Astyanax mexicanus: one gene and its partners. The main gene of each other region encodes a partner of the protein of the gene in region 4 in a complex. Links are inferred from orthologs where the notes say so. Each region holds a gene or a part of one and is shown on either strand. Other genes may lie near its edges.

Region 1 (7,453 bases), on a different chromosome or scaffold from region 4:
TTTTAATGCAGTACCAAGAAAAAGAAATCTTCAGTCAAAAAGGAGTAAGGAATAACTTAAAACCACCAACAAAGAACCACACAAAGACTTTTTTTTATAAACAAAGCTGTATTTCTATTTCTAACAATCAAACTATATGCACGTATTTACATGTTCCATTTAAAATGGTGAGGAAAATTTGAGTTTCCAAAAAAAAAAAAAAAAAAAAAAAAAACCTATTCACAGTCTGTTCAGAAGGACAGTTTCCAGCTCATCGTGCATCGAACACAACCACTGAAAGCTGGAGTTAAGGAAATAAGACTTCACACCAGTAGAGGACGTCCCTGCATGCACATAAACATATAAATTATAATAATAATAGTAATAGTAATAATAATAATAATAATCTAAATGGAAGTGCCTTATATATTCCCGGAAAAAAAAAAAAAAAAAAGTGCTCATGGGAACAAAACACTCCTTTTCTTTGATCTAAACTCTAAATGTCCCTGCCCCTCCCCCCTCACCTAAACATAGAAGGCACTTCACAAACAGCACACTGTTGCCCCTAGCAACACTTTCATTTAATACATTCAATTGCAATACTGGATGCAACACGCAACTGTGTGATCCACATAGTGTCCTAAATGACCTATATACTCTGTGTCTAAAACTCTTAGGCAGAGACACAAAATAGTCAAAACCCAGAAAGAGTTTTAGGAGTGCTTTTGCACTATAACGTAACTCCTACAGTCACAGACACAGACAAAGGAGCCTAAAGTAGTGCAGCCTAAGGGATCACTACATCCAGAAACCACCCTGGCCTGACTAATAGCGATGTTATTCATCAGTGCACAAGCACAAGAACTTAGGGATTTCCCAGAAAGGATACATCTCTTTGTCCTCTTCTTGTACATGATTCTGTAGCCACACTCTCGGCATCTGATGGGGTCTCTGGCTTTAATCTCATTCTCTGTGTGACATTCTGTAAAACAAACAAAATATGATTGTATAAGTTTACTCGAAATTGCTCATGCAAGGACATTTTTTGGAGCCAATACAAAGAGTGACATTACCTTGTTGCAGACAATATCAAAGCAGTAATAAATAAATATGTAAAAAAAACTAATTTACCATTTAATATATTAAATCAAAATAGTGTGGGCAGAAGGTGCCTATTTATCTTCGATTAAGGTAAAGGAGTTGAGTGTCATTTAAAAGTATGTCATTTAATAATTGTGTTTTTTTTCCATTACAGCATTAGCAAATAATGCATCAGCAACCAATATAGGCGCAAAAAAGTACTGGAGTAGAGTATGTTTTTCACATATAGACCAACCACTGTCAAATTACTGTTTACTGTATTGTTAAACTGTGATTATGTTTTTTCATAATACAAAAGTATTTGCAGATTTAAGCAGATGTTTATATAAAAATGCACAGCTACACTTAATGCTCTAAAATAAATCAACTCCCAACATCTGGGTTAATAATTTTAGAAAAATGCATTACTTTGACATTTATTCATTTACGTCTCTGTGGAGTAGTTGAAGATTATATGGCTAATAACATTGTTAGAATGCAGAATTTTACTGAGCATTATATTTTAATTCCAGTATCAGTAAATCTTGATGATGGAGAGAAAAGCAGACACTCAAATGTACATATAAATGTAAATTTATTACTATGTGCAGTTTTTGAATATAGCATAGCTTTAGAATCTGTATTGCAGGTACTATGTGTGCCAAACTGTGCGTTGCTTATTTGTGCTTAAAACTCTTGAAGGGCAGAAACACTGTAGGGTTTAAGCCCAGGCAGAGCTTAAATAATCCTTTTGCACCAAAGCGTAACTCCTAAAGTCACTGAGACAGACAAAGGAGCCTAAATGTAGTGCGCAAGTGGTCACTGTATCTGAGGAAGCGACCGCCGCATATAGATGAATGTAACTTGTATTCATATGGCATGCAAAACTGCAATGGAGAGAAAGAAAAAGGTGCGACAGTTCTATTTAATGTTTAGTTGGGAGTAAGGGTGTGCCATATTGAATCGTATGTGATATCACTAACATTTTTGAATATCGTGAACAATATTATAACCTAACATATCAAACCATATCACATCAGGGTAGTACTTTTTTTTGCTGTTTTTAGCAAAAAGAAAAATTCACACTTCTCATTTCCCATTATATATCTACTTGAAAACGATTTTATCTGTCCAGTATCTTTTCTTTAAATTTTGGATATATGAAGATATTTGGCATGCATTATAAGTATCATGATATTCTGGATCAATGACTTTTGTTACAAATCTGGTATTATTTATGCTAGTAAGGGTCCTAAAATTACAACGCAGAAAACCCATGTAGAGCCCGTATGAGAAGTCTAACTAGGGAAATAGGCTGGGAATGTTGGCTGGAAATACGCTAACAAAAGGGACACTACTACGGAATTTATAGTAACATAAAATATAATCATAATCATATTGTCCATCCCTATATCTCATATTCCCCGACAGAAACAAGAGACACGTGTTAGCTAGCTAGTTAACTTAGTTAAGTTACCTCCGCAGATATAGATCATGGGCTGCTGTTTGGGGGGCTGCATATCTTTCTGTGGATCCATCTGCAAAAAGAAAACACAATTAATCAATGATTAATCCATCAAAGTTTAATTTTTTTTAAAACGAGATTATGAGATCCACGCGGGCACAATACCACACAAACCACGGAGACGACTAACCTATAGCTACCTAGCGTTAGCATGCTAGCAGTAACTTCAGCGTGAGACACTAAATAAACAATGCAGTGAGATCAATGAACTATACAAAAATGTTTGTAAGTATCGTACATTAATTATACTGCAGCTCTATTATTTTGTATCAATCATTTTATAAATCTATATATAATTAAAAGAGAGAGAGTTGATTGCTAACTTACCTCTAACGTGCGTTAGCTCTACGCTACTGAACAGACTACGCATGCGCACCTCTCCTCCGCTAACTACCTAAAAAACGGCTGTGTGATTGGTGGTCAGTTTCCAACGCTGTGATTGGTCGATTAAGTCACCTGTTGTTTTAGAAGGACTTTTATTTATTTATTTGTTTTATATATAAAACTAAATGTTTCGAAAAATAAATTAATTAAATTAAACTGAATTGCATAATATTTCTTATATATTAATACAAGTGGAATACATATGCTGATAAGTAGGCTAAGCTAGATATTTTATATTATTTTATGCCATATAGTTTTTTTACAGGGGATTTTCATGGCAATATGAATGTTCTAAATCATACTAAGCACATAATATAACACATATATTAACACCTAAATATGTTTTATTTTATCATAGTTTCGAACACATACACTTTTATATTACAAACATATTGGTACTAAAACAGCCTTTTATACAATTGTTTTTATATTTGTCTGTGTTTTTTATTAAAAGAAAAATACTTTAGCTGATGTTCAGGCTGGATTGAAATAAAAAAAAGAATTAAATGAATTAAATAAACATTAAGTAATAAACCAGTAAAAGAAAGACAGAAACAGGAAGTATTATTCTGCGTCATGATCTGAACCCAAGCAGAAAGACTGCAGGTGAGTCCAGGGATGTAAATATGGGATATTATTGATTGAAACGAATATTTTGACATTATGAACACAGATTTTATGCATTTAAACTGTTATTTGAGGTAAAACTGACCGCGCTTCGTGTTTGTGTAGAATAAGACTGCGCGTTTAAGAGTTGTGTGATTATGGGCCGCTCGTGGTTTCAGTTTCTCTTCATTAGAACTGAATAATAAATGTGAACAGGGTGAGAAAAGGGCGAGGCGAGGCGAGCGTTTATTCAGATCATCTGATTATGTCTTTATTCTGAATCCCAGCACGAACAGATTTAAAAAATGGCGATTTAATGCACAAACACTCGGTCGAGTTCTGCGGTGTTTTCGTTTCTTCCTAACGACCAGATAGATACTTATCTTTAACAGCGGCTCATCAGTTCAGTGTTTTTACAGGATAATATTCTCATATACTCATGAGCACTTGGTTAAGGACAGTTCTGTGCACGTAGTTAATAAGAGCTTGGTGTTTGGTGATTTGGAGGAGGAGGACTGTGATGATGGACTTTGGATAGTCAGTAGAAGAAGCTCTGAAGCCTGTGCTTAAGGAAGCGCAGCAGCACTTCGCTGTAGTGAATGCAGTCTTTCCTGCTGATCAGGATGGCTGATGGTAACCCGGAGGACAGAATCTTGGAGGTTCTGGGAATCCCAGACGATGTGGACGACGAATTCCTATCGCTGTACTTTGAAAACAAGCGGTCAGGAGGAGGAACCGTGATTTCACTGGACAGAAATGGAGACCGAGCCCTGCTGGAGTTTGAAAAAGCTGAGGGTAAGAAAACCTAATGCCTGAAAAATATTAATAACATTTACTTTCACTGCATACTAAACCATTAATCAAGCAAAAACAAAAAGGAAACATTCATAAAGGTAGAAAAGTGGCATTAATTTAATCAATAAGGTAACAGTATTAGTTAAGGTAGATGTTATAAAGGTTAAAAGCTAACATTATTAATTGTAATAAGTTGTCATTAGCAGATATGTCAAGTAAGGAAGTACAAATAATTTTTTACCTTACATTTGGTTATACTTTACTGGTAATTATTATTCAGACAACCTTTTACTTCTACTTCTTACATTTTTATGCAATGATCTATACTTTTTAATCCTTACATTTTAAAAATACCCTCATTACTCCTATTTCATTACAGCTTGTTTTTATTCTACCTTTTAATAAGTCAGAGAAAATTCGGATAGAGTAAATCTAATTGTGGTTGGATGAAAAGTATAAACATATACCATTCTCACACCCTATTGGTTTATTTACAATCTATCACACCTGCACACATCACACTACACTCATGCAAGAAAAATAGCATGCAAATGTAGCCTAGTATCAAGATCTTCTTTAATATATATGCATTGTACTAGAATGCATTTATTTTCAATGGGCACATATTCAGCTGAAACATTTTTTATGACATTCTAGTTATTATGGGTGGGTGGGGCATAAGTTTTTGTCCTTAATGGCATTTCCCCCCTTACATTACTTTATTTTTTTACTTTAAGTAGTTTTTAAAGCATTACTTTTATTTGAGTGAAAAGCTTGAACTGAATTGAACTTCTACTGGAGCATTTTAAACCCTAGTTTCTATACTTTAACCCAAATAATGAATGTAAATACTTTTGACACCTTTGGTCATTAGTAAAGGTTATTATACTGAAGGTAAAAGGTATTATGAGTACAGATAATGAGCTGTCATTGAAGGATGTAACTAATTAATATTAATTTAGACAATACACTCTCATTAATAAAGGCAATATGCTGCCATTAATAAAAGAAAAAGTGTAGATTTAATAATGGGAATAGCATAGCATTAATGAAAAAAGAAGTGTTAATTTAGCTGATTATCTGTCATTGATGAAGGTAAATGGTAGCATTATAAAGGGAATAAGGTTACTCGGATTAAGTTCTGTTTTTATATTGAACGCTTCAAAGTTAGGAACTAGCGTTTTCATTTAACTCTATTTTTATATATTATTTTACTATATTTTTAATTACTACAGGTTTAATGATGCACATTTTCAAATGTATTGTGTGATGAGTTTAGTTTCTGAGATCAAGATTCAGTATGACACATAACGTGTTTATTATTTTGATTCTACATGGCTCTGATTATACACAGATACAAGCTATTTCCCCCAAAACAAAATATTACAAAGTTGTGCCCACCCTCAAAACTAACAACTAAACAACATCTAAAGCTAGAAACATTAGTAAATAGATACAATAAAGGGTTAAACACACAAAATGATATTTCTTATTTTTTGACTTTTTAAATCTTTCTAATATATAGTCACATCTTATAAGATATAGAATATTACAAAGTAGCAAAAATTGGTGTTATTTTGCTAAATAAAAAAGCAATAGTAATATGGGAATTGTGGGTCGTTATCCGTATCTAATGATTGGTGTGTATATCTCTGCAAGGCAATACATAAACATTAAAACTGGGAGAAGACCTGAATCAGATTTACAGAGATATATAACAAATAGAGGTTACAATAGCAGTACCATTAAGTTATTAGTGAAGAGTGTTTAAGTCTAATGTCATCCAAATATTTTGCTCTTCAAGTTAGATTAAGTTTAGATATTTCAGATATTATACATATTTAAACACCAGTTTGAACTGTTATTTGTTGGAAATTATATTATTCTGATCAAAAACAAGACAGTTATTATTAGGTTGCTGCTATTATTAGGTTGCTACATCTAACCTTCTACTATGTAACCTAAGTGAAAGCATACATCGTGATAGTTACAGCAGTAAATTGTGTTTTTTTTTTTTCGGCTAGTTGCTGCCAGAGTCTTGTCCAAAGCCTCTCATTCAATAAGCAATAGCCAACTGACCGTGCGGAAGAAACCTTCAAAGGATCATGGGAAGTTTGTGCTTCGGGGGCTTTCTCCCAACACAGTCCTTGACATGGTGGAGTTGTTTGTGGAGAATCTAACTGGAACCGACGAGTTCTCTCTGTACCCCTCACCTGGACGGGACCTGGTCCTGATTCACCTCCGAAACCCCCTGACTGAGGGTGAGTAGCTAATATTGTAACTCCCAGGTTGTTGCTGTTACTGCTTTTAATTTGGAATAAATGATAAAGATAATTTAACTAGTAGACAGTAAGAGTGAGTGTGGTGTGTGTGGTAAGTGTGGTGCTCGGATAACATTTAATAAGTTTAATAATTTAATATTAGTTTATTAATTATCTTCAGACTAAGATGCTCTTGGGTAACCCAGTGTAGATCATTCTGTTTCAGTTTACAATACAATATTGCTATATATTGAATTGTAACCCCACTGTATTGTAATATGTATTGTGTCACCAAGTTCTTGCCAATACACAGTTTACTGCACTTGTATTGTTTAAACAGCACATGTAGTGTGAGTGCGATTCGTGCATGAGCACGGAACAGGATGACGTCAGTAATTCAGTGTTTAGCTCCCCCGCCAAAAAAAGCACCCCATCTCGGGTGACTAGGATAACCATGATTTTGGCGCATATTTCTAAGTAAGTTAAAGCGGATTATCTCTGCATTTATCAAGAAGAGGCACTCCTGAGAGAGGGTGCTTTTCATGGTGGGGATGTGGAATACAGCACAATATTGTCAAGCCCACTAAGCAGTGATTAATGTTGTAAGCGTGCTCTGGCACGGATTGTTTAAACGCAGTGTGAGTGCAGGCTGGCGGGAGAGCGGGGAGGGGGCAGAACCTCGTGCTCTAGCATTATTCAACCAAACCGTACCTAATGTGACTACACCCTTACTAGATATCCAGCTTAATAAATCTGTGTTGCTTCTGGTCTTTTAGGTTGTTTTGTAAACTTAATGAAAGCAGTCTGAGATACTTGTTCTGGG
Region 2 (7,363 bases), on a different chromosome or scaffold from region 4:
TGCAGCAAAACATATTTATTATCAGTTAGGTAAAATGATCATGAAAAGATTACACAAGGTTTGTTTACATTTAATAAAAGATAATTTAAATGATCATTTAAATAACACGCAAACATTTTGTTAACCCAAGATCAATCTTTAAATTGACTTTATTCCTCTGCTGTATGTGTGTAAACCTTTAACCCTCATTAGTAGCCAGATTTGCACAGCTTCACTGCTGTGGCATTAGAGGCAGTCTGCCAATGGCAATTTGAATAAAAACTTGTTCTTTTAAAAAAAATCTCTTTTCATATTAAATTACAAAACTCACTGTAGCTACAATATCCCTAAATTAATTAATATATAATCACATTTACTCTTCCTCAATCAATCTATTTACACTTGTGTTTACATCTGTCAATATTTCTCTTTAAATTACAAGTGTCAGAAACATTAAAACTAATACGTTAAAAACATTTAAACAAAGTTGTTTATTCAGTCCACTACCACACTCCTCATATTACTCCTCTCTACCTCTCGTTACATCTGATACAAAGCTTCACAACAAACAAGATTTTTCTTTAAAGATACTTACAGAGTAGCGTGCTAGGTAGTATGGGCACCAGCCTTTTTTGCGCCCAAAGTCTTTAAGGTCATCTAGATTATAAATTCCAGAAGGAATTGGCACCTGTCTGCCCACGGCATCAAACTCCTGCACATAGTGGAGTATTTAAAAAAATATAAAACATTGTGGGGGGAAAAAGATTTCTAAGCAAAGGAAAAAAACTTAACTTAAAGCAAGCTGAAGACTCAGTGTTTAAGTTTACCTCATAAAAGCGGCAGACAGGTTGACTTGGATTACTGTGATGCTGGGCTCGAATATACGATGCTGTCAGACTGTGACATTTTCCATCTACCTCCTTTCCGAAGCGCAAAGAGCTCACCTGTAAACAGAGGCAAGGATCAAGCTGGATTATATAAAGAGCATAATCAATGATTAAAGCAGCATTCTGTGACTGTGTTATTTTACTCATGGGCTCCCCAAACAGGTGAAGAGTGTAATTCACTACAGTAAAGACAAATCACACTTTGAGCTCATTCCCCCTTGTGGTACACACAACATTTTACAAGCTGAGAAATGCTGAGAACAGGCATGTGAAAAGGTAAAGTAATATAACAGGATTTTACACAAATATGACTTAAGATAAGCAGTAGTAAGATTTTTCACAAGCCTTATTCTGCCTGCTTCACAAAGTTAAATTGTGCAGTTTCTGCAGTGATTAGATACATCAGATTAAGATATTCAACAGAAACAAAAAGAAAATCTGTGAACTTTTTTGTTCAGAAATTATTCATAAACAGTAATTTACCAAGACTCTCAATCTTAATTATGCTACTTTGGAAAACGCATTAAAATAGTTTTTCAATTAATCCAATTAATCAGATTAACCTACTAGTCCTAAATATAACCTGTTACTTTAAGGTAGAAATGCTATGTAACTCTGAAAATCTATCCCATTGTACGACTAAAAAGGCTTTACACAGCCCAAAGCGCATTAATGTAATGACACTTTCTAATCCGTCATATATGGCAGCAAAGAGACACTTACTTCAGGATGAATGCACAGATTCTTTCTTGAAGAAAGCGCCAGTGCAAGGAAGTTGTTTTTCTCTCCTGTTTCTTTGGTATAGAATTCCATCAGTTTCCTCAGTTCCTCAACCACCTTAAAGAAAAAACGCCTTCTAAATGCAGATAATGCACATGCACAATACACTCAGTGCACACGGTCACTCATTAATGTACAACTGCATTGCATAAGGTGCCGTTCATTACCTTCTCAATCTCAGGCACGGTTCGGGAGCAGTAGATCAGCTTGGTCACCTCGAGAGGGTAGGCCTGCAGGTAGAGTTTAAAAGACCTTTCTTTACTTGCTTGTTAAGCCAAACAAGCTCACATTCTTAATTTTTGGATAAACAATTAATTAAAAAGTAGCACAGAGCCTCACTTTCTGATATGCTACAATAAGAGACAGAAGAGAGATGGTTTTTCCCGTTCCTGAGGGCATCTCCAGAACTCCATGGCCCTAAGGACAGAAAGCAGAGCAGGTCCTTGCTATATAATGCAAAAATATACAGTGTTTACCTTAATAAGGCACATCTATTAAGGTAATAAGATAATAGATAATAGTATCTATTAAGGTGTGGCCACAAGGTCCTTTTGTTTCACAGCTAACAAAGCAAGCAGCTCTCAGGGGTTGTGCACAATATGACTGCTTAAGAAAGGTAAAACGGGTCTGCATACTGTGCGTCTGAGCCTGTCAGCTTTTACTATGAGAATTAAGTGTCTTTTCTTAGAATTATGCCATGTTTGATTAGTCTTGGAATGAGCTTTGATGTAATATTCCATCTTCTTCATTAGCATTAATTTACAGAAAAGCTTATTTTATAGGACGCCAAACATTTTCTGAATGTTACTTTTTTCTACACACAGGTAGTTGTGTGTTTCTGGTGTATATTAGTTTATAAGAGCTGGATAAATCGTGTTTATTTTGCATATTCAGTCTCTGGAGCAGGTGGCTTGACACAACTTTAGATACCTTGGCGTCCAGGGTCCTCTTGAGCTCCAGCATGTAGGAGTACTGTTCTGGATAAATGTAGTCATAAGGGAAATAGACTAACAGCCCTTCAATGTTCAACCTGCAGGAAACATCAAAATCAGGAATATATTAAATACATGACCTGGTTATTTCTGTGGTGGGATGAAGTAAAGGTATTTAAGGAAAAAGCACCGAGACACTTCTTTTGTAACCCGTTAGTTTAGCTAAGTTAGCTTAATAACGGTAGAATTAGTTAATGTAACTCACTTCATGTTTGCTGGTGGCAGAACGCCGTGACTCTGTTTCCTCTCTGAACGTGTATATCTCGCTCCAACAGTGGCGAAATAACATTAAAATAATATCCACATAATTACCAAACAACTCACTACCCTGTACACCAGCTAACAGCCCCCTGTCTGCACGCCGTCGCGTCTAAAACTCGTACGCTCTGTTTTGCAGCTAGGATTGGTTGAACTGCTGTCAACGCTTATTAAACAACCATCTGATTGGACAATTCACCTGTCAATCAAAACACCACCGCGGCAAACCCCGCCTTCCTTTCCGCTCGGTCAGACCGATCTGAACATCATAATAAAGGTTCAAAACCAAAACAAATTAAAAGTCAGTAAAAAAAAGAACATCAAAATATAATGTTCTGTCAAATAAATCCACTTAAATCTGACTTAAATTTGACTTTAAATAGCAGGGTCTATTTTTTCTAATAATGAAAAATACGATTTTCTTGTAAATAAGAATTTCTGCTGCTTAGGTTACTCTAACTTTATGCTTTAATGTATTAATCTTTTTTCGTTTTTTTTTTGTTTTTCTGTTTCTATAAGTACATTTTTGTGCCATAAATATACACCCCTAAAATGAATAAAATAAAAGAAAAAAACTTTGTTTTTTGGACAAATAGCTCCTGATAGTAAAGAAAGAAAGTTAGTGTTAAAATTCTGACAATAAATCAACGTTCATTTAAAGGTTTTAAAAGGTTGGGGCTCTGAAATCCATACTAACATTAGTGGTTTTATGTTAAAATATACTTCCCACAAATACAAATATAAATATTATTGATTTCAGTGCATTAGCGATGGGAAAATTAACGCAAATTTCAATTCAATGTTATTACCTTAATCGATTATAAAATTTCCAAAAACAATTTTAGGGATTTATGGGAAGATAATAACGCAGTAGTTATAACTAATAGCGCTGCTTGTTGGTGGTAAAACGACACGTTTGTCAACAAGTTACAGCACAGAGAGACAAAAAAGACATTTTCCATTGAGTTTACTTCAGGTATACCATTTCTGGCACACCATATTTTAAAACGCACCAGACCTATAAAACGGACTAAATACGTAAAAGCGCACAAAGTGCGTAAAACGCACTAGATGCGTAAAAGCGCACAAAATGCGTAAAAACGCACCAGATGCGTAAAAGCGCACAAAAATGCGCGTCATGCATGAATGTACTGAAAAGCGCTAAGATACAATCATAACAGCAATAAAGAAAAACAAACACATGACTACCTCTTAGGTGTCGATTAATTACGTCTTATTGACCTAATCAATGAATTTGAACCCTGTCACCTAAAGCAGTTCTGGCAAACCCTGATTATGTTTGGCTAGTTTTAGATATATCACTTCTCTAAAACTGGTGTTAATTTCACATGAAAAGACTTTGAAAAGACTCTTCATTTTGTCACGTTTTTACTTTTTGACATAATTTGAATCAGGAAGTTGTTCTTTACATAAGATCAGTTTTAACAACGTGAACAAACATGGATTTTGTTTTTTACAAAGGTTCTAGTGATTTAATGTCTTTTTTTGTATTGTGAAATTTCTCCCTCTTGTACAGCATTGCTTAAAATACGTTTTTAGCATCTGTAATTATTTACCTGTACACTGATATGAAGCAAAATAGGGCTCTAGTCCTTTGGCTCAAACCCTGTTGGGTTTCCTACTTCTGCCACAAAAAGGATGTCCCGCTGTTTAAAGAAGTACAGACTGCTTTTTAGATGTGCCTGAAATTATGGCTGCTTTAAAAATGACCAGGTCCTGTATGGTGTATCAGTTGAAATTTCAACTGTTTTAGGATGGTGATTATTTATCCATTGACACCCAAATAACTGCTTATCTGATGTGCTGATTGGTACACTGGCTGCTTTAGCATGTGCCAGTTGGTGTGCCAGCAGCTTTGAGGTGTGTGTTTGTGTGCCAGCTACTTCAAGATGCGCTAAATGGTGCACAGGCTGGTTTTAAGATGTGCCCTGTGGTGCACCAGCTGAAGTTCTAGCTGCTTTCGGATGAGAGGTGGTGTGACAGCAGCTTTTCTGAGAAGAAAAAAATTAATTAGGCCATTGCTGCCCCTACACATTTACTATATAACAAATTATCAGGAACACAAACAAGATAATTTACTGTGGACAAACCTTCAGTCTACTTGTACAACCAGATGAAATGGCCTTAATTCAGCCAGAAGGTAATCTCTAAAATGGGTGATGACTAACATAGGAGTGATCTGCAATGAACTTGTCTGGTTGCTTCTTAATCCTTGTACTCAACATACAGCTCTTAGTCAGATGACTGGTTACACCTGATGATCTTGCCCTTGGACTGAATATGCAGACAAAGCACCAAACCATACCGATTACAAATGAGGTGAACACAATGTTGGTCTTGATGTTTCATTCATAAAGGAGAAACAACAAAGCGTTGGATTTATAACCTTTATTATAATATTATTTACATGATCGTGGTGATTCAACATCTCACAGTTTAACACATATCAATTATGAGCTTTACGGTGGTATAAAATTCCCTCTTGAGATGAATAAACTGTCTTTCTGAACTCAAACAGGAATCCTGTATGTAGTGACTGAGATTGTAGGCTAGTTTCAGCCATATATTGTTTTGAAAGTAACAAGCTGACTGAACTTCACTATGGATTTGTTCCATTTTTAAGACAGTAAACATCATATTCCCTTTAATATGCTGTTGAAATGTGGAGTGTAATGAAATATATTAGAAGCAAAACACAACATCTGTTTAATACTCAACTTGTTCAGTTCCCATGGGCTGTAACACAGGAACAGATGTAGTTTCCTTTGTTTGTTATCGATGAGTCATACGCTCTATAGTTCGCTAAAAAGAGAAGCCATCTGTTAATGAAGTAATTAGTTGGCGCTGACAAGAGATCACTTATTTACTATTCCAAAATACAAAAATGTATTATTTCCCAGTTATTCTGTCATCCAAAATCAGTCATTATGGTGTGTTGAGAACTTGCTCTTTCATGAGTTTGGCAAGTTCATGCTAGTACAACCTTAATAAAATGTCTAAAGCAGGAGTGTGCAGCTCAGAGTGTCTTGAGAGTCCTGAACAGGATGGTGGACTGAGGCCTGTCTGTACAACCAACACAAAGTTGTGAGGACCTTGTTCCCTGTGGTTTATATATTGAATGTAATAAAGTATAAAATGATCAAGAGTTTAAGACTCTTTAACATACTGCATCTCCAGTTTAAAGGGACTCTTACAACAGAACAGATGCAGTTATAATTCGATGACGTGTTATTATCAAATCATAATCTCTGTGCTTCTCTGAAACCATCTGTTCAAAGAAATTGTCCACTTCTATGCAGGAAAATCCTCTCTCGGAAACATCTTGAATGACAAACCTCATGGAGTTAAACACCCATACAGACACCCATAGTCTAAAGCATGCTTCCAGCTCACAGCTCGCACTGCTCCTCCACACTCTTGTAACGGTCCATGATCCTGAGGACATCCTCCAAGATGGAGGGTCCCAGGTCCAGGTCCAGACCGACAAGAGACTCAGAACGGGACACGCCAGCCGAGAGCACCGGCGACTCACTGCGGTCGCTCCGCAGGTCCTCGTTACTCAGGCCAGCATCAGAGTCCAGGCTCAGACCTCGGCTCGGGTCAAGCGGCCCACAGCCCTCGGACATGGAGTCATCTGAGGAGGCCTCAGAGAAAGAGCCGGTGGAGGGCATGAGGTGTCTGAGTATGGGGATGGATGCTGAGATAGTGAGGTCATTGCAGGGCTCTTTACAGCGGCCCATTGCTTCTTCACACACAGACATGGAGCGCTGCTGATTGTTGTGGTGGTTCTTCTGCTGCTCCTGCTGGTTCTGGTTGTGGTGGTTCCTTTGTAGCTCATGCTGGTTCTGATTGTGATGATTCTTCTGCTGCTCCTGCTGGTTCTGACTGAGGTGGTTCTTTTGCTGCTCTTGCTGTGGCTGCTGCTGCTGGTGGTGTTCATGGGAGCAGTTATCCTCTAAATGTAGACGAGGAGGTTTGGGAGGAGGCTGTTCTGGGGCGATGAAAATGGGCATAGAGATGGTGCTTTTGAGATGAGAGGTGTGGTGGGAATTCCGATGGGAGTCATAAGTGTGGCTTATGCCTTTGGGGGTTACATCAAAAATCCCATCCAAATGCCTGTCCATGCTGTTTGAGCGGACGTGGGGTGGTCTGGCTAGACCAGGCAACATGTCCAGCTTGCCTTGCAGGAAGTCAATGTCTCCAAACATGTCACCCTGCCCATCAGGGCCAACGTGGGCGCTGTGGCGTACGTCCCCCAAAGGAGGGCTGATCATGTCGCCAGAGAGAACATCCCTCAGTTTGAATCTTTTACCCCGCTTGGGTGTGGATGTCTTTAGGTACATGGGCGTCTTGGCTGGCATTCTGTTTCCCAGAATTCAGAAAGAAACACCAACTTCTGCTGTGGTGATGTAGCTGTTGGGTCTAGCAGCTACGAACAGTGGGTGT
Region 3 (7,959 bases), on a different chromosome or scaffold from region 4:
ACTGCCATTAAGCATTTGTGATAACTGGCAGTGAATCTTTATTTAAAACTGACTAGGCCACTCCAAAACGTTTTGACTTGCTGGTGTGTCTCAGATCATTGTCTTGCTGCAGAACCCAAGTACGCTTAAGCTTTAGGTCACAAACAGATTTTGTGGTAGAGAGAAGTATTATATATGTAACTCTGTGTGCTAAGCTCAATCTAGATTCCACACGTCTAAAGACAGGGATTTTATTCATTTTTTACACATTATAATTTATTAAAAACTAAGAGATTCACTAAGTAACTTAAATACTGTTGATTTGTCTTAGAAATGTTATACAAAATAATGAGATTAGAAGTTTGACTTATTTTGCAGCCATATATATATATATTGCAGATGTAATGCTGTTTTATATTAGAGTTAAGAGTAGGGCTGTGTATTAGGAAGAACTTAGCGATATGAAACCTATCATGATAGAGGGGTTATGATGTACTGTGATACTGTATGAAGGGTGATGTAATGTGATTGTTTAAATTAAGTTTAAGAAAAACATATTTCTAAAATCTGAGTAGAAGAAAAGTTAACTTTTCATCCAAATAGAACAACTAGAATGCTTTCTATTGGATGGGTTTAAACACATCACTATGAACAAAAGTATGACACCAATCTTTACATGTACAATAATAATTAAAAAATTATTAGTTTATTAATATTTTGTCTATACATTTTGCCTAAAATACACAGCATTTTAAATAGTGACAAATATGTTTAATTAGTGTAGCATAATTTTTAAATATCGATTTAATAAAGATTGATTTATTGGGGGGGGGGGGGGGGGGTGGATACTCCTAATTCTAGAATGATGTCTGTGTGTGCACTGATTGTTGCTATGCAGCATGTTGCCATGGTTTCGGTCCAGAAAGGCAGTTTTGGTCCACATGGAGTTAAAGATGTAAGCAGATCTCCTCTACCGAACATTTCGTACAATACATGCTCATGGGCCTGTCATATCATCATATATTATTACTTGCACTCTGTGACAGTATTATTGAACAATACATAGCATACATACCTCAAGAGACATATTTTCATACACATACAGTAATAAGCTGGGTGTACACTCGTAAATTTATACAGCAGAAGATAAGCAGATCTTCATTAGGTAGAAGATGAAACACTATTTCCTAATTTCTCTTTTCACCAAAAAAACATACTGGGTTATCGCAAAAATGATTACAGATGAGATATGATTAGACACTGGGTCTTTGTACAAAAGTGGCAACCTTTGGGTAGTGTACCTCTTGGTAAGAGATTGTTGACTGCTTTACATGCCTCTGTGATGCATTTGAGACAACTATAGTTTCTGAATCAGTTTCTCTGAAGTTCAGAAATCTTAAAAATATTTTGTAAAATCACTTTTTTTCACAGTTTTTATGCATCTTGGCAAGTTCTCCTCCACCAGTCTTACACACTGCTTTTGGATAGAAAAAAAATAAAGCAGTTCAGCTCAGTTTGATGGCTTGTGATCATCCGTCTTCCTCTTGATTATATTCCAGATGTTTTCCTTATTTTTTCATGTCTAGCAGTCATTAATCTTGTAACAAGAGGTACACTACTACACTGCTTGTCTTTCAGCGTTAATTCTAACCATCAGTATTTAGCATTTTGGGTTTATTAAAAAAGTTGATTATTAACAGCTTAATGTACCAAGATTAAGCTGGGAACTATGCGGAATAAAAAAATGTGTATATATGTTTTTGAATGTGTGTGTGTGAGAGAGACAAAGCAATGCACTTATATTTTACCTGCAGCACAGATCAAATCAGTCCTGATTCCTGAAGCGTGGGACTTATCTAATCCCAGCTTACATATAAAGGGAGAGATTGTGTGTGTAGCTGAGCTGTTATCATGCCTGCTAAACTCCAGGGATTTTTGACTCTGATCCGATCTGTGCGTTTTTCTGAAAGAGGTCTCTTACACACAGACTGAGCAAGTTATTATATGTATTACCAATACATTAGAAACACCCGTACATCTACTTTTTAAGCAGTTATTCAATCGTGAGGCAGCATGGTGCTGCTACAGAAAGGTGATGGTACAGTACTGATTTCTCTTAGTCTCCAAACTTATGAAAGAATTTAAGTACTAGTTATAAAAGGTTTCGGGAAACATTCAGAATTTTAAGGACTTTCTTTTTTAAATATGAGGTTATGTAGTACTTTCAAAGCATTACAAGCGTTTTGGACAGCCTATCTCTGTCAAATTAAAGTGTGCCAGCAGAAGACCCACATCGGGTTCCATTTCTGTCTGCCAAGAACAGAAAGCTGAGGCTGCAGTGGACCCAGACTCATTGATCACAGATGGATCTTACCCACCATGTGCCCCCGCCCCCCCCCCCCCCCCACATTTAACATAAAATATTAGTCCATACAGTGCTGTTTCTATTGCTTCATAAAATAATAAATTTTACATGATTGAAAGGAGAATACACCTACCTCTAAAACTCACCGCATGCAAGTAAACCTGGAGAAGGAATCGTCAGGCCCACTGCCATTTCACAATATCCAGCTTTTGCTGAAACCTATTTTTTTTTTTCAATATGCGCCCTCAAAATGAACCCTAGGCCAAGTTAAATGCATGTTCAATTAAACAGTGAAACATTAGGAGTAAGAATTGCCTTATTTACTTTGAGTAACAGTGGCGTATTCATCAAAAAATAAGTAAAATGCATGAACTCCCATGAACTCATTGTTGGTGATAAATTGTCTGAACTGTCTCTAAAATAGTAATTGAATTAAGTCACTTTTGTAGGTAAAATTAGGTGTTTAAAAATGTGTCACCCCTGATGGGACCAGCCTGTTTAATTTGAAGGGATCTTGAGAGGTTGGCCATGTTAAAATTAAAGATTACTTTGTCTTTAAAGCATAAAACAAGCATAAATAATACATACAAAAAGTGGTACATGTGCCCTTTAACTTTTATTACACCTAAGAAAGGATTTTACACCTACCTTGTTTGGTCCAATCCAAAATAGTAGGTAGTGTGATGGACTGGTACCTTGTCCAGGGTGTGTATTCCTGCCTCGTGCCAAATGATTCCGGGTAGATTCTGAACCCACTGCGACCCTGATCTGAAAGAAGCAGAAAGAAGCAGATGTGTGGATGGTTAGATAGCTATTCATGAACTACACACAAAGAGTTTATTAGGTTAAATCTAACATTCTGCACTTTATCCATATGTATGTTCATATCATACTGTGTCAAAAGTTAAATGGTGAAACTGAGATGCATGCATCTCTTTTGTAAAAACAGCAACGTCCAATGCTGCACCTTCAGCCCTGAAACATAAAGACGTACAAGCACAAGCCTAAGCTTGTGATCTCCATCCCTCAGACGACACCAGACAGACACCCTGCAAAAACTAATTTCAAGGAGGTAGCATTAAGGCCTTGACCCCCCACCTTCTCCTTTAAACCCAGGAGGTCCAATTAATGAACAGTACCAAAAGTTTAAACACACCTTCTCATTCAATGTTTTTTTTTATTTTTATCCAGACTATGAAGGAACACATAAGAAATCATGCAGTAACTTAAAAGTGTTAAACAAACAAAAATTCTCTCAAGTGTTTTTATCTGGGGTGCTGTAAACCTGCATTTTCTGAGGCTGGTAACTCTGATGATCTTATCCTGTGCTACAGAGGTAACTCTTGCTCTTCCTTTCCTGGGGCAGTCCTGATGAGAACCAGTTTCAACGTTTTGAATGGTCTTTGGTCAAAGTTCTTGAAATGTTTCAGATTTACTGACCTTTATTCCTTAAAGTATTTTTTTATTTTTACCTAGTCAAGTAGTTTTTGCCATAACATGGATTAGAACATTACTCAAATAGGTATATTCACTGTATACCAACTCTACCTCTTCACAACTTTACAACTGATGCACTCAAAAAAAATCAAGTAATGAACTCTTGACGAGTTCAGCACAGCTGTTCCTGAATCCTGAATACCAGGTGACTCTACCTGAGAAAATCCAGACAAGATGTGCAAAGCTGTCTCTATTTTAGCAAAAGATATATAAAATATGACCACATGGGCAAGGGATTACTTTAGCCAATCTTCAAGCACTACAATACAGAGTTACATTCATAAACACCACTTAAAACTTCGTAACCATGGTAACCATGTCCAGAAGAGGCATTAACTTCTCTGTGCTCGGAGGCATCTAGGATGGGTAAATGTGTATTTTGTTTGCAATCAGTATTTCTTTTATTTCCTATGATTTGTAATCTCATTTAAAATGTCCATATTTACAAGAAAGGTCAAATTTCTTGAGGATTAAACCGTTCCTACAGTCATGGAAGGCAGACTGATCCGGCCCGGCTGGCTCAGCTCTGTGCTGAGAGGGCGATCTGAATGGTGTTTAAGTCAGGGGATTGTTACAGATGCAGTCTTATTATACTGAGAGAAACATGAGCCCAGCCAGGCGGGACTGGGGGGACGGGGGCGAAGGGGCTCAGTCTGTGCATTAGATCACAGCTCTTTGTGTTTAGAGGAGGGAAAGGGCAGCCCATACCCTCACTTGGACAGAACAGGTATGCGAGTGAATAAGCTGTTCATTCAGGTTCTGTTTATAAAGTACAAATACTTTATATACAGTAAAAAGTCCCAGTCTAGAATATCTTTTGTGTTTATATACATCTCTGAAAAAAAATAATCGACCACTTATTAAAGATGTTTTTTCTTGATTTTACAAAATTGAAATCCTCTGGAATATAATCAAGAGGAAGATGGATGATCACAAGCCATCAAACCAAACTGAACTGCTTGAATTTTTGCACCAGGAGTGGCATAAAGTTATTCAAGAGCAGTGTGTAAGACTGGTGGAGAAGAACATGCCAAGATGCATGAAAACTGTGATTAAAAACCAGAATTATTCTACCAAAAATTGATTTCTGAACTCTAAACTCTTTCAGAAATTGATCTTGTTTTCTTTGCATTATTTGGTGTCTGAAAGTTAATTTAACTGTTTTTTTTAATTAGCTGATTACTTGATTAGTCAACGGTTATTTCTGCCATCCCCTTTATTGCTTTCTAATGAAACAAACAAAAAAAATGAATGTGGGATTTTTAAATGGGCAAAATATGCTTAAATGTGAAAATATGCTAAATTTGGGCACTTTTGGAGACAGTACTTTGTGTAGTACAATAACATGGCTGGCTTAATATGTCATGCTTTTTTTGACAAATATTTAGTAATAATAGGAAGCTACAATAAAATTATTCGTAAAAAATTGTGAATTGCAGGCATTGTTTTTTTGCAAAAATAACTTCCTGTATAAAGACAAAGTTTATATTTATACTTGTTAGGTACTACTAATCCCACATAGGTAGGAGAAAGTCCAGGTCTGATGAGGTTAATACTACTATGCTATTTAAAAATAAAGTGGTATAGTGTATTTACGCATGCGTGATGACACACACACACACACACACACACACACACTCGACGGGCTACAGTCCCGCGCACGCGCTCCAGCAGGAGCGGCGGTGTATCCTGGGCGCGCGAGCAGCAGAAGGAGGAGAGATAGTGTGGAAGATAACGGAGGATGAGTCCTGCGGAACCGGCGCGCGCCTGAATTCATACTGGAGCTTTTATTCCTCCTGTTTTTTATGTGGAATTCGGGGAAAGAACGCGAGGATCTGATCTAAGCTGTGCTGAGGTTTTGCTCCGGTTCGGATTCCTAATTCATTTATCAATTCGCTTTAATTGAATCCGGTTTATTTTAGGGGGGTCTTCCTCTGTAAGAGCCGCTCGCGATGCTGTGGAAAACGCGGCTCGCGCTGCTGCTGTTTTACTGCGGGGGCTCGTGCAGTTGGGCGCGCGAGGATCGGCAGCAGCAGCAGAAGAATTCCGCCTCCACCGGAGCCCCTGCGCGCGCGGACACGCACCGGGCGCACGCGGCTGAGGTGCTGGACTTCGGCTACGTCCCGTCCGTGGTGTACGAGACGCACGCGTACTACGAGCCCGGACCCATCGGTCTGCTGTTCCACATGGTGCACGCTCTGCTGTACGCCGTGCAGCCCAACCCCTTCCCCAAAGGTGAGCGAGCGTTCGATCCGAATTCTAGTTGATAGCATTCAATTGATTCAAAATAAAGATAACAGTGTGAACGCAATCACGCTGCATTCTGATTTTGCATTCTGCTGGTAGAGTGGGGAGTGCAGATGTGGAAGGGGGCGTGGTGCAGCTGTGCACAGCAAAATCAACTAACTCAAATAACTTACTGTATCAGAGTTAATTTAAACTCTTTAAAATTGTTTATCTAGCTTACAGTTTTTGGTTAGTAGAACATTTTCTAAACGTTACTGATAAAATACCTATCTGATCAATAGCCCACCAGAATAGAGTATATTTTTTTCTGGTAGCCCAGCTGGTCTTGAACTGGATTTTTTTGCAGGGAGTTAATGTTCTTAGACAGTTTAATCTGTAAAGTTTTCTGGATGTTCTTTGAATGTTGTTATTTGACATTTTTAAATTCCGTAACAGTAATGCTGTTTCCAATTCTGGTAATTACACTTCATTGTCACTTGTGTCAATGTTTGAATTTTTTATTTTAAGTATGTTGATAATTTTAGTGGTTAGTGGTTGGTGTGGTTCAGTGGATAACACCACTGCATGCAAGTGAGCTTCCATGTGGGAGACTGGGGTTCAATTCCAGGCCTTGGTGACTATGCTGTGCTACACCACTAAGAGTTCCTGAAAGAAAGAGTCGTCCAGTAAATCATAATAATGAAATACTTAGTCATAATAATGAGATTATAAGTCATAATAATAAGAAACTATAATTATGAGAAACTATGTCATAATGTATAATTATGAAATGCATAGTCATTATAATGAGATACTTGGTCATTATTGTGAATTGCTGTCTCATAATAATGACCAGTACCAGTAGGTATCTCATTATTATGACATTATTATGACTGAGTATCTCGTTATGATGACTCAGTTCCTCATAATTATAAGTTAGTATCTCAAAGTTATGACTTCTCATAATAATGAGTTAGTTCCTCCTAATTATGACCTAGTATCTTGTTGTTATGGCTTAGTTATTCATAATTATAAATATCTCAAAATTATGATTTAGTATCTCATAATAATTACTTAGTTCCTCATAATTATGATTAAGTATCTTAAAGTTATGACTTATCTAATAACGATGAGTTTGTTCTTCGTAATTATGACTTAGTATCTCATTACTATGACATAGTTCCTCATAATTATAAGTTAGTATCTCAAAATGATGAGTTAGTATCTCGTAATTATAACTTATATGTGTTCAGAGCAGTGGGCAGCAATCCATCACGGCAGCTCAAGGGCCAAAAAGTATAGTGTACCAATACCCCCCTGGTATCAAACCCACAACCTTGGTAACAGTGACCAAGTGCCCATGTGGGGTCTGTATGAGCTGCGCATGGCAAAGGGGTGGGTAGCTCATGAATTTTGTCCACAGGGTCCATGTTGGCCCACATGTGGATGTTAGTGACCCATCAGGGTTCGTGAGGGGACCAGTAGGGGTTAAACATGGACGCTATGTGGGTTGTAAATTGCACATGGATCACAGGGGCAGTGATGATTGAGTGGTTAGGACTCTCAAGACTACTGTGTGTGTGTTTTGTTGTTTGGTTGTGTAGAACTTTTACAATAGCACCTGTAACACTTTGATTTATCTTTTCATACAATAAAAGGGAAAAGTTAAAGGACAGGAGAGTGAATAACAATGTATATATTTTTATTTTTTTTAAATCACAGATGGAGTTGTTTTCTCTGGGTTTCAGGTCAGGTGGTTAAGCAGGTGTTTTTTTGTGGAGCAGTTGTTTATATGGAGCTACAGAATGGAGCTTGTGTGTGTAAATGTGTGTGTTTAGGGGAGAATAGGATTGCAGTGGTAAGTCCCTGCTGCCTAATCAATTAGCCGATCT
Region 4 (7,065 bases):
ATAAATAAAGCGTTTTTGTAGAGAAGCTTCAAACTAATAAAAAAAAAAAAAGAAAAAAAAAAAGGTCATTCAACTGTAAAGGTGTACAAGTACATGTTGTTCTGACCTTGCTGGGCCGGTGGCAGGAGAACTTGTTGTGGCTGACTGGGCTGCTGGGTCTGCTGAACCTGTTGGACCTGCTGTTGCACCTGCAGAGCACCCTGCTCTTCAGTGTGGAAGCCGTCCACAGCCTTCGACTGCATCAGCTTACTCTCCCACAGCTGCAACACAACAGCGGATCAATAGCGCAGGTCACATTTAATCACATAACTGTTATTGATCAGGCCACAGTTGAGGGTTACACCAATGACTCAAGGAGGCATCAGTCAGCACTATTTAGATATTTGATTGAGAAAGCTGAATCAGCACTGGTGATCAAGGAAGCATTTCTCAGGTCTAGTAACCACAGCACAAAAAGCCATTAAAGGGCACGACTGGAGACAACCGGACCCTTATTCATTTTACAAATTTATATATTTTTTTATTTATTACTTAGTTATTGATAAATGATTTATACTTTTTTTACTTTAAACAAGTCACAGTCATTACGTCATAAGTTAAATATACAATCCGTACAACAACGAACAAGCTTAAGGGTATGATTTTTTTTAATCGCACACTTCACTGTATACTGGTTTGATTAGTCCAGACTAATGCGTAGGAGTATATGGATGCCTGATATCAAAATCTATATCAGTATATATATATATCTATAAATACAAAACGATAAAATATATTTGACTACCCACTGTAAATAATAGTTTAAAACAAACATCCTTCATTTTGACTTTATTGGTTGCCTTCAGAGTGGCGCTGGCTTGACTGAACCCTATAGAATACTAATTTAACTAGATTATTATTTTATGTAATATCACTTTAACCGCAATCAACATTCTTCTTTCCACCATTCAGTGATGGCTGTCTATTTATAGGAAAACAAATAGAGTTTCACTATTCTCTCAGCACATCCTGAAACAATCATTAAAATAGCAAAACAATTTGGGGGGTTTTCAATGTGTGTACAATATAGGTTTGTATGTGTACACTGGGGCTGCAACTAATGATTATTTTGGTAGTCGACTAATCTGATTGTTTTTTCGATTAGTCGAGTAGTCAGCTATTATTCCTGATGATGTTTAAGAATGGAAAGTGCTGATATTTAGTGTTTAAATATGTAATTTGTTGTGTTTTGGCACCTTTGGAGACACTTTGTGTATGTGGTACAGTTACAAATGAACAATTAGTCGACAATGAAATATGTAGTCTGCAAAGTTAAAATGAATTTATATTGACCAATAGTTGCAGCCCTAGTGTACACAAAAAAATAAAATAAGTGACAATTTGAACAGCTTCTTAAAATGTTTTGTGGCCTTTTCAGATAAAGGTAAGCTCATTTACCGTTTTGAGCTCCATAAGGACCTGCTCATCCACACCCTCATCCAGGAATAGCTCTCGGACCTCATTGATCACATCTTCCATCACACTTCTGTAGAGTTTAGGCTGGAGAGGGAGCATCATTAAAGGCAGATGAATACATACTAAACTACCATAGAGTTTCTTCTTTTTTTTGTACAATCGGTTTGCACAGTATTCAATTAAGTGCAATATAATCATAATAATAATAAATAATAATAATCAACGCATGGCCCATAATGATTTAAAATAAGCCTAAACAGATGAATAGCAGGTGTCAGGAACAGGCAGAGGGTTATGGAGAGAGCGAGAGCTATAGCCCCACAGTGTCCAGTCCCTGATGTCCTAGTCTGGTCTCCCTCCCTTCCTCCGTCCGTCGTGCTATTTAAAGCTCCGGCGGTGACGTGGCGCGGAGTTGCGCCTTCCCATCCCGGTCTGGGTGGATATTAGAGCGGCCGCGGGGCCGTATATAACCCGGGCTGCTCGGGAGGGAGGGTCAGAGGAGCGCAGGAGCGAGGCTAGTGCTAACTAACTGCAGCGCGGAGTGGCTCCCTCTCTCTGAGCTTACTGGAATTTACCCCGTTCCACCTTAAATCCTGCAGCGGATACAGTCTGGCGCCTGAACAGCACCGGAATGTTAGCGCTGCGGGATTTAAGGTGGAACGGTAGAATTCCAATAAAAAGCTAACTTTAATCATATCGCCTGACTTGGTTGGAGAGAGTTAGCTGGAGATGAATGAGAGTAGAGTGTACAGGAGGTGCAGCTTTTTAAAAAATGATACAAAGCCAGAATTAAACCTAAAATATGAGTATTGGGGCTTTGTAAGTTATATATACACAGCTCGGAGTAACAGCAGCACACGGACAATGACAGTTAGTTATCGTTAAATACAAAGAGAGAGTATCCCAGTAAACCTGTAGATAAACTAAGACAACGCACGTTATTATAGCACTGTTAATGCAGCACTATCTGTAATATATAATATATAACAGTAATCTTATAGTAGTTAGTAACTAATATATACATATATATCACACTCCAGCAGTAGTAGTTGTAGTGCGGGGCTGCTTTGTGAGCCCCGCCTGCAGAGAGACAGGACTTAACATGGCCGATTTCGTGTGCCTAACACTTTTTATTAGAGGGAAGGCCGAGCATGGGCTGGGTTTCCACACCCGCTCGCGCAGGTCACACTGCCCCGCTCTCACGCGCTGCTGCTGCTTTCTGTTCACCGCTTTTGGGCACTCCACGCCCTCGTGCCTGCTCACTGCCCTCGCCTCGTTCTCTCTGATTCGGGTTCTTACCACCGGGTTAGAGTTAGCCGAGCTCGCCATTACCGCGGGCGGAGCGCCAGACACGCCGCGCTGCTGCAGCTCTGATTAAACTACACCCGAGCGGTCGCGCGCCCCGCAGCTGCCCGCATAAGGTGTGTAGGTGAAGCCGCGCGCTGTCCGGTGGGCTGCGTGAGCTCGGTATATAAGCTATATCAGCGCGCGGGTCCCGGGCTCCGTCCCCCGCCGTCTCGCCGCCGCCGTCGTGCTGCTTTATACACACAGCCAGGCTGCTGCGCATGCGTCAAATAGCTAGCTCGCCTGCGTCACGGTATCGCGAGACCGCCAGGCACGAGACAGGACCCGGATCACAGAGAAAGAGGCGGGGGAGGCGCTTAAAAAGAATTAGTACATTTATAAAACTACGTTATTTTCTATTTTTTTATTACCAAAATATGCATAGAGGGGTAATATATATATATATATATATATATATATATATATATATTTACACATAATTTTTAACTGGAGATAAAGCCAGTAGATAAATCAAATTATTATATATATATAACAAAATTGGTGCTGGTGATGATTAATTTGATTATAATTATTATATTATATTATATTACATTTACATAATAACAAAATTACCAAACATAGTTAAATATCGTATAATACAGCAAAATTAAAATAGAATTCTACAGCAGAACAATAGTTTTAAGCTCCCTGGTAAATGATGTACTGTAAGCAATACATAAAAAAAAAACCTTACACCTTACCACAAGTTCTCTATTAGATTTAAAGTGCATTATATAGGACCGCAGGACTGGATAACAGTGATAATCCATTTAACACTCTTTTAATACATTTAATCTAACCAATATTAATAATAACTGCATTCCACCACACGAGGGCAGCAGACTGTGTATGTGTGTGTGTGTTTGTGTGTGTGTGATCAGTGGAAAAATGACCCCATCTGCAAAGTTATGCTGTTTTTAAAGTTTTATTCAAATGTTGAAATGACATAAATTGATATACGTTTGCTTTCAAAGTCAAAATAAGTAAATCTTCAAACAGCAAATTTAAATGCCATTTTATTCACATTTTAAACACTATATTTATTTATTTGTTGAATTAAGCATAATGGAAAGATGGAATATGTATGAAATATGAATATATTTAATATGCTATTATGTAATGATTTGTATTGTTTTTGCACTGTGTTAATTTAAACAAGAAAATCGTATTTAATAATAATATTAATGCATGTCTTATTAGTCCCACATTGTAGTTAATTAGCCTCTGCCTTTAACCCATTTGTGCAGTGAACACACATATACACACTAGTGAAAACACACAGTGATATTGTTGAACATATATCCGGAGCTATCAGGGAACAGTGAGGGTTAAGAGCCTTGCTCAAGGGCCCAACAGTGGCAGCCTGCCAAACCCAGGAGTCGATGGCCCACTGGCCCAGTACTTTAACCGTTGAGCCACCACTGCCAATTTAAGCTATAGAAGGAGCAGAAGTTACTCTCAAATATATCATAGTTGCTGATGGATTAACGTTGTATTAAAACATTTGAAAATAGACCCTCTTCATTATTCTATTCACTTTGTGCAATATACAAGAGCTGTGTTTTTGGGTCGAATGCTTTACTCCTCTAAACATACCTGAACATACCAAACAAATACAATTTTCTGAAAAAATCATCTGAAAAAAATTCTCTAGAACAGAAACTGTAAATAATACAACATGACATAAACTGTCAATCATGAACAAATTTAAAGAGAGAATAGTAAAGAGAATAGTTATATAGATTTACAGGGACACAAATGATTATGAGTTGGCAAGGATGCAATGATATGAAAGCAGGAGGTAGGGCATTACAGTCAGGTGACCCAATATATTCAATGTGAGCGTATTGTGATGTCATACAGTTTAAAAAAATAAAATCCCTCCTGTGGTTCCATAGCAACAGAGTGCTGCTGCTTGTGCAAAGGCTCAGAGAGGGGTCTGGTCATTAGGGCTGTGTGTGTTTAATTATGAATGACCCTCAGCTGTCACACTTCACTACACTCACCCTAAAGTCTGAGACCTCTGTTCACTCAAGTCTTTAAGAACTGCAGCCATATTCAGAAACAACTGTATATACTCAGCCTTTACAGAGATTAATAATACGGTAGATTTAATTCGCTACTGTACATAAATACTAAAATGTTGTATCTTCTGGGGTATTATTTATTATTTTATCATTTTTATAAATGTTAGAAATTATTCCAAACCCACATTATCACTAAAGCCAGAGCGGTAGATGATCTGCACTGTCACCGGGTTAGATTAAGCTACTCATCATTGAGCAAATCAATCGATCATGTTGATGAGGTCTTATAAGAAGACCTCACTGCTCCTGTTCTGCCTTTCATTCTGAGAACTTTCCACTGCTTTCTGTAATAACTACACAACACAATACTGTACTTTTACACTCAGTACTTTAGTTTAACATTTTACTATAAACTACTTGCAATACTTATACACAAAAACTGTTGAATATTTTAGTACTTCCCCTTAAGGGTGGAGCTTAAAAAATACTTCAAATTTAACTTCTCCTCAAATAACTTTTTTGATAGAGCACTTGTACTTTTACTCAGGTCTAGGTCTCTACTTCTTTATACATGTCAAAACAGCAGACTGAGGCTCGACAAAAGGCAGCCAATCAGAACAGGGCGTTAATTTAGCAGGTGAAATACACAGAATAATACCATACTAATTTGTTTTCGTACTAACAGGAAGCAAAGAGAGTTGCTATTTCAATCTACACAACCTAAACATCCACTATGGATATTTGAGTATACTAAACGTTGATACTTTTATCTATGCTACATACTTCATACTCAAATCTATTTAGAAGTACCCAATTGGAACATATCCTTTGTGAGCTAATGCAGAGTTTCAACACTGTTCCTTTAAAACTCTGCAGTGAAGTCATTTTCCTGTGGTGTGTGTGTAGAGTACACACACTCTGAGCTGATAATTGTTGTTTGTGAGCTGCTTGTGTGTAATAACTGTTTTTAGTGTGGGTGAATACTCTGTGATGCCATGTTTCTTAAAACTGCTTTAGTTTTAGCATTAACTGCTCCTCTATCTTGTGCTTATGCTGCAGTTCAGTGGCAGACTGAACCTAGGCAATTAAAGCACAATATTTCCTCTGTTTTTGTTTTATAAGCCATAATTTGAGAATGGAAGATGTGGTGGGATGTTTGGTTTAATGTAGATTTACATGTTCTTTTCGGATACACCATCACTGCATGTAGCATGTGATTAAATAAGATCAGCACGTTCTTGTTTATTGACCCCGTGTTGTGTAACAACAATGGATTTTGGGCATTTAAAGTAAAGCAGATTTAGAAAACTGGCATCAACTCAGATTACTTTAAATAACCAATTACTAACAATTAGCTACTTTTTTGTCCTTTGCTCATAAATGTTATAGGCTTGTCATGAACTTGTAAAATGTTTTACAGTATAGTATTGCATATTTACAGTACAAATTTCCATCAAGTGTAAAGCAATAATTTTAATACCATTGAAAGAAATTTTGCACAAAAAAATCCCTTTAAAACGGATCCTTTATTATTGCAACTGGAAGACAATACATTACATAAACATTGTATGTAATTCTCAAGTGAAACAAATGATTGTAAAGACATGACATTGTTTTTTTCATTACCTAAGAGAGTGTGAAGTTATTTACAGGTAGTCATGAACGTGTTCTTTGGCAGTCATGATTGCACATTGAGAAAATTGGCAGATTTACTTTGCATGGGATTGCTATCTGAGTATTGGACACAAATACCATGTAAAGACAAGTGTCAACAACACAAGACACATATCACTATTCTATTAGTGGTGGTTTAAAAACTTGCAGAGAGTTGAAACAAAAAACGAAACTTAAAAACCTTTCCTGAACCTCATGCACACTTCTGCTTGAGTCATGTTGGCATTAGTTACAAACTCGACTCAAGAGCTGAATTTGTGTGTGTCTTATTAAGTGTCGTATTAACAGCAGGCTATGCTCATATACACAGTGTGTTACATATTGTGGTGTGGATTAAATCTCAAAGATCAAAACTCAGCAGCATGTTAACCTTTAGAAGACAAGAAGAGTGCTGTTATATTACAATGCAATTAGTGAGTTATTTAATGATTTGTTTTAACATTCGGAATGCTTTTACAGGGAGCAGCCTACAATTCTGATTTTTTTCTGTTTTGATGCCACAAATGGTACAAATAGTGGATGGATTCACAGTTTACAATCTGCACTTTCTACACAGAAAACCTTT

Evidence for each region.
Region 1: gtf2a1 (region 4) and polr2k share a complex: the UniProt entries of both Homo sapiens proteins name them as parts of the TBP-based Pol II pre-initiation complex. The link is inferred for Astyanax mexicanus from reciprocal best matches to the Homo sapiens genes GTF2A1 and POLR2K.
Region 2: gtf2a1 (region 4) and ercc2 share a complex: the UniProt entries of both Homo sapiens proteins name them as parts of the TBP-based Pol II pre-initiation complex. The link is inferred for Astyanax mexicanus from reciprocal best matches to the Homo sapiens genes GTF2A1 and ERCC2.
Region 3: gtf2a1 (region 4) and gtf2e2 share a complex: the UniProt entries of both Homo sapiens proteins name them as parts of the TBP-based Pol II pre-initiation complex. The link is inferred for Astyanax mexicanus from reciprocal best matches to the Homo sapiens genes GTF2A1 and GTF2E2.

Annotation. Positions count from the first base shown.
Region 1 is NC_064410.1:32,892,223-32,899,675, reverse strand, and holds polr2k (DNA-directed RNA polymerases I, II, and III subunit RPABC4), read right to left. Parts: upstream 3,015-7,453; 5' UTR 2,912-3,014; intron 2,598-2,911; coding exon 2,537-2,597; intron 962-2,536; coding exon 869-961; intron 274-868; coding exon 251-273; 3' UTR 184-250; downstream 1-183. Other genes in the region: uncharacterized protein parp10, read left to right, coding at 4,198-4,369, 6,394-6,630. UniProt on the Homo sapiens protein: DNA-dependent RNA polymerase catalyzes the transcription of DNA into RNA using the four ribonucleoside triphosphates as substrates.
Region 2 is NC_064425.1:16,927,528-16,934,890, reverse strand, and holds the start of ercc2 (general transcription and DNA repair factor IIH helicase subunit XPD), read right to left. Parts: upstream 3,016-7,363; 5' UTR 2,849-3,015; coding exon 2,844-2,848; intron 2,677-2,843; coding exon 2,577-2,676; intron 2,064-2,576; coding exon 1,986-2,063; intron 1,877-1,985; coding exon 1,814-1,876; intron 1,704-1,813; coding exon 1,590-1,703; intron 924-1,589; coding exon 807-923; intron 692-806; coding exon 575-691; intron 1-574. Other genes in the region: zgc:154093 (cdc42 effector protein 3), read right to left, coding at 6,307-7,278. UniProt on the Homo sapiens protein: ATP-dependent 5'-3' DNA helicase. Component of the general transcription and DNA repair factor IIH (TFIIH) core complex, not absolutely essential for minimal transcription in vitro.
Region 3 is NC_064432.1:19,869,531-19,877,489, reverse strand, and holds the start of gtf2e2 (transcription initiation factor IIE subunit beta), read right to left. Parts: upstream 3,018-7,959; 5' UTR 2,993-3,017; intron 1-2,992. Other genes in the region: prom1b (prominin 1 b), read left to right, coding at 5,794-6,076. UniProt on the Homo sapiens protein: Recruits TFIIH to the initiation complex and stimulates the RNA polymerase II C-terminal domain kinase and DNA-dependent ATPase activities of TFIIH. Both TFIIH and TFIIE are required for promoter clearance by RNA polymerase.
Region 4 is NC_064408.1:88,794,010-88,801,074, forward strand, and holds the start of gtf2a1 (transcription initiation factor IIA subunit 1), read right to left. Parts: upstream 3,005-7,065; 5' UTR 2,785-3,004; coding exon 2,755-2,784; intron 1,540-2,754; coding exon 1,438-1,539; intron 261-1,437; coding exon 107-260; intron 1-106. UniProt on the Homo sapiens protein: TFIIA is a component of the transcription machinery of RNA polymerase II and plays an important role in transcriptional activation. TFIIA in a complex with TBP mediates transcriptional activity.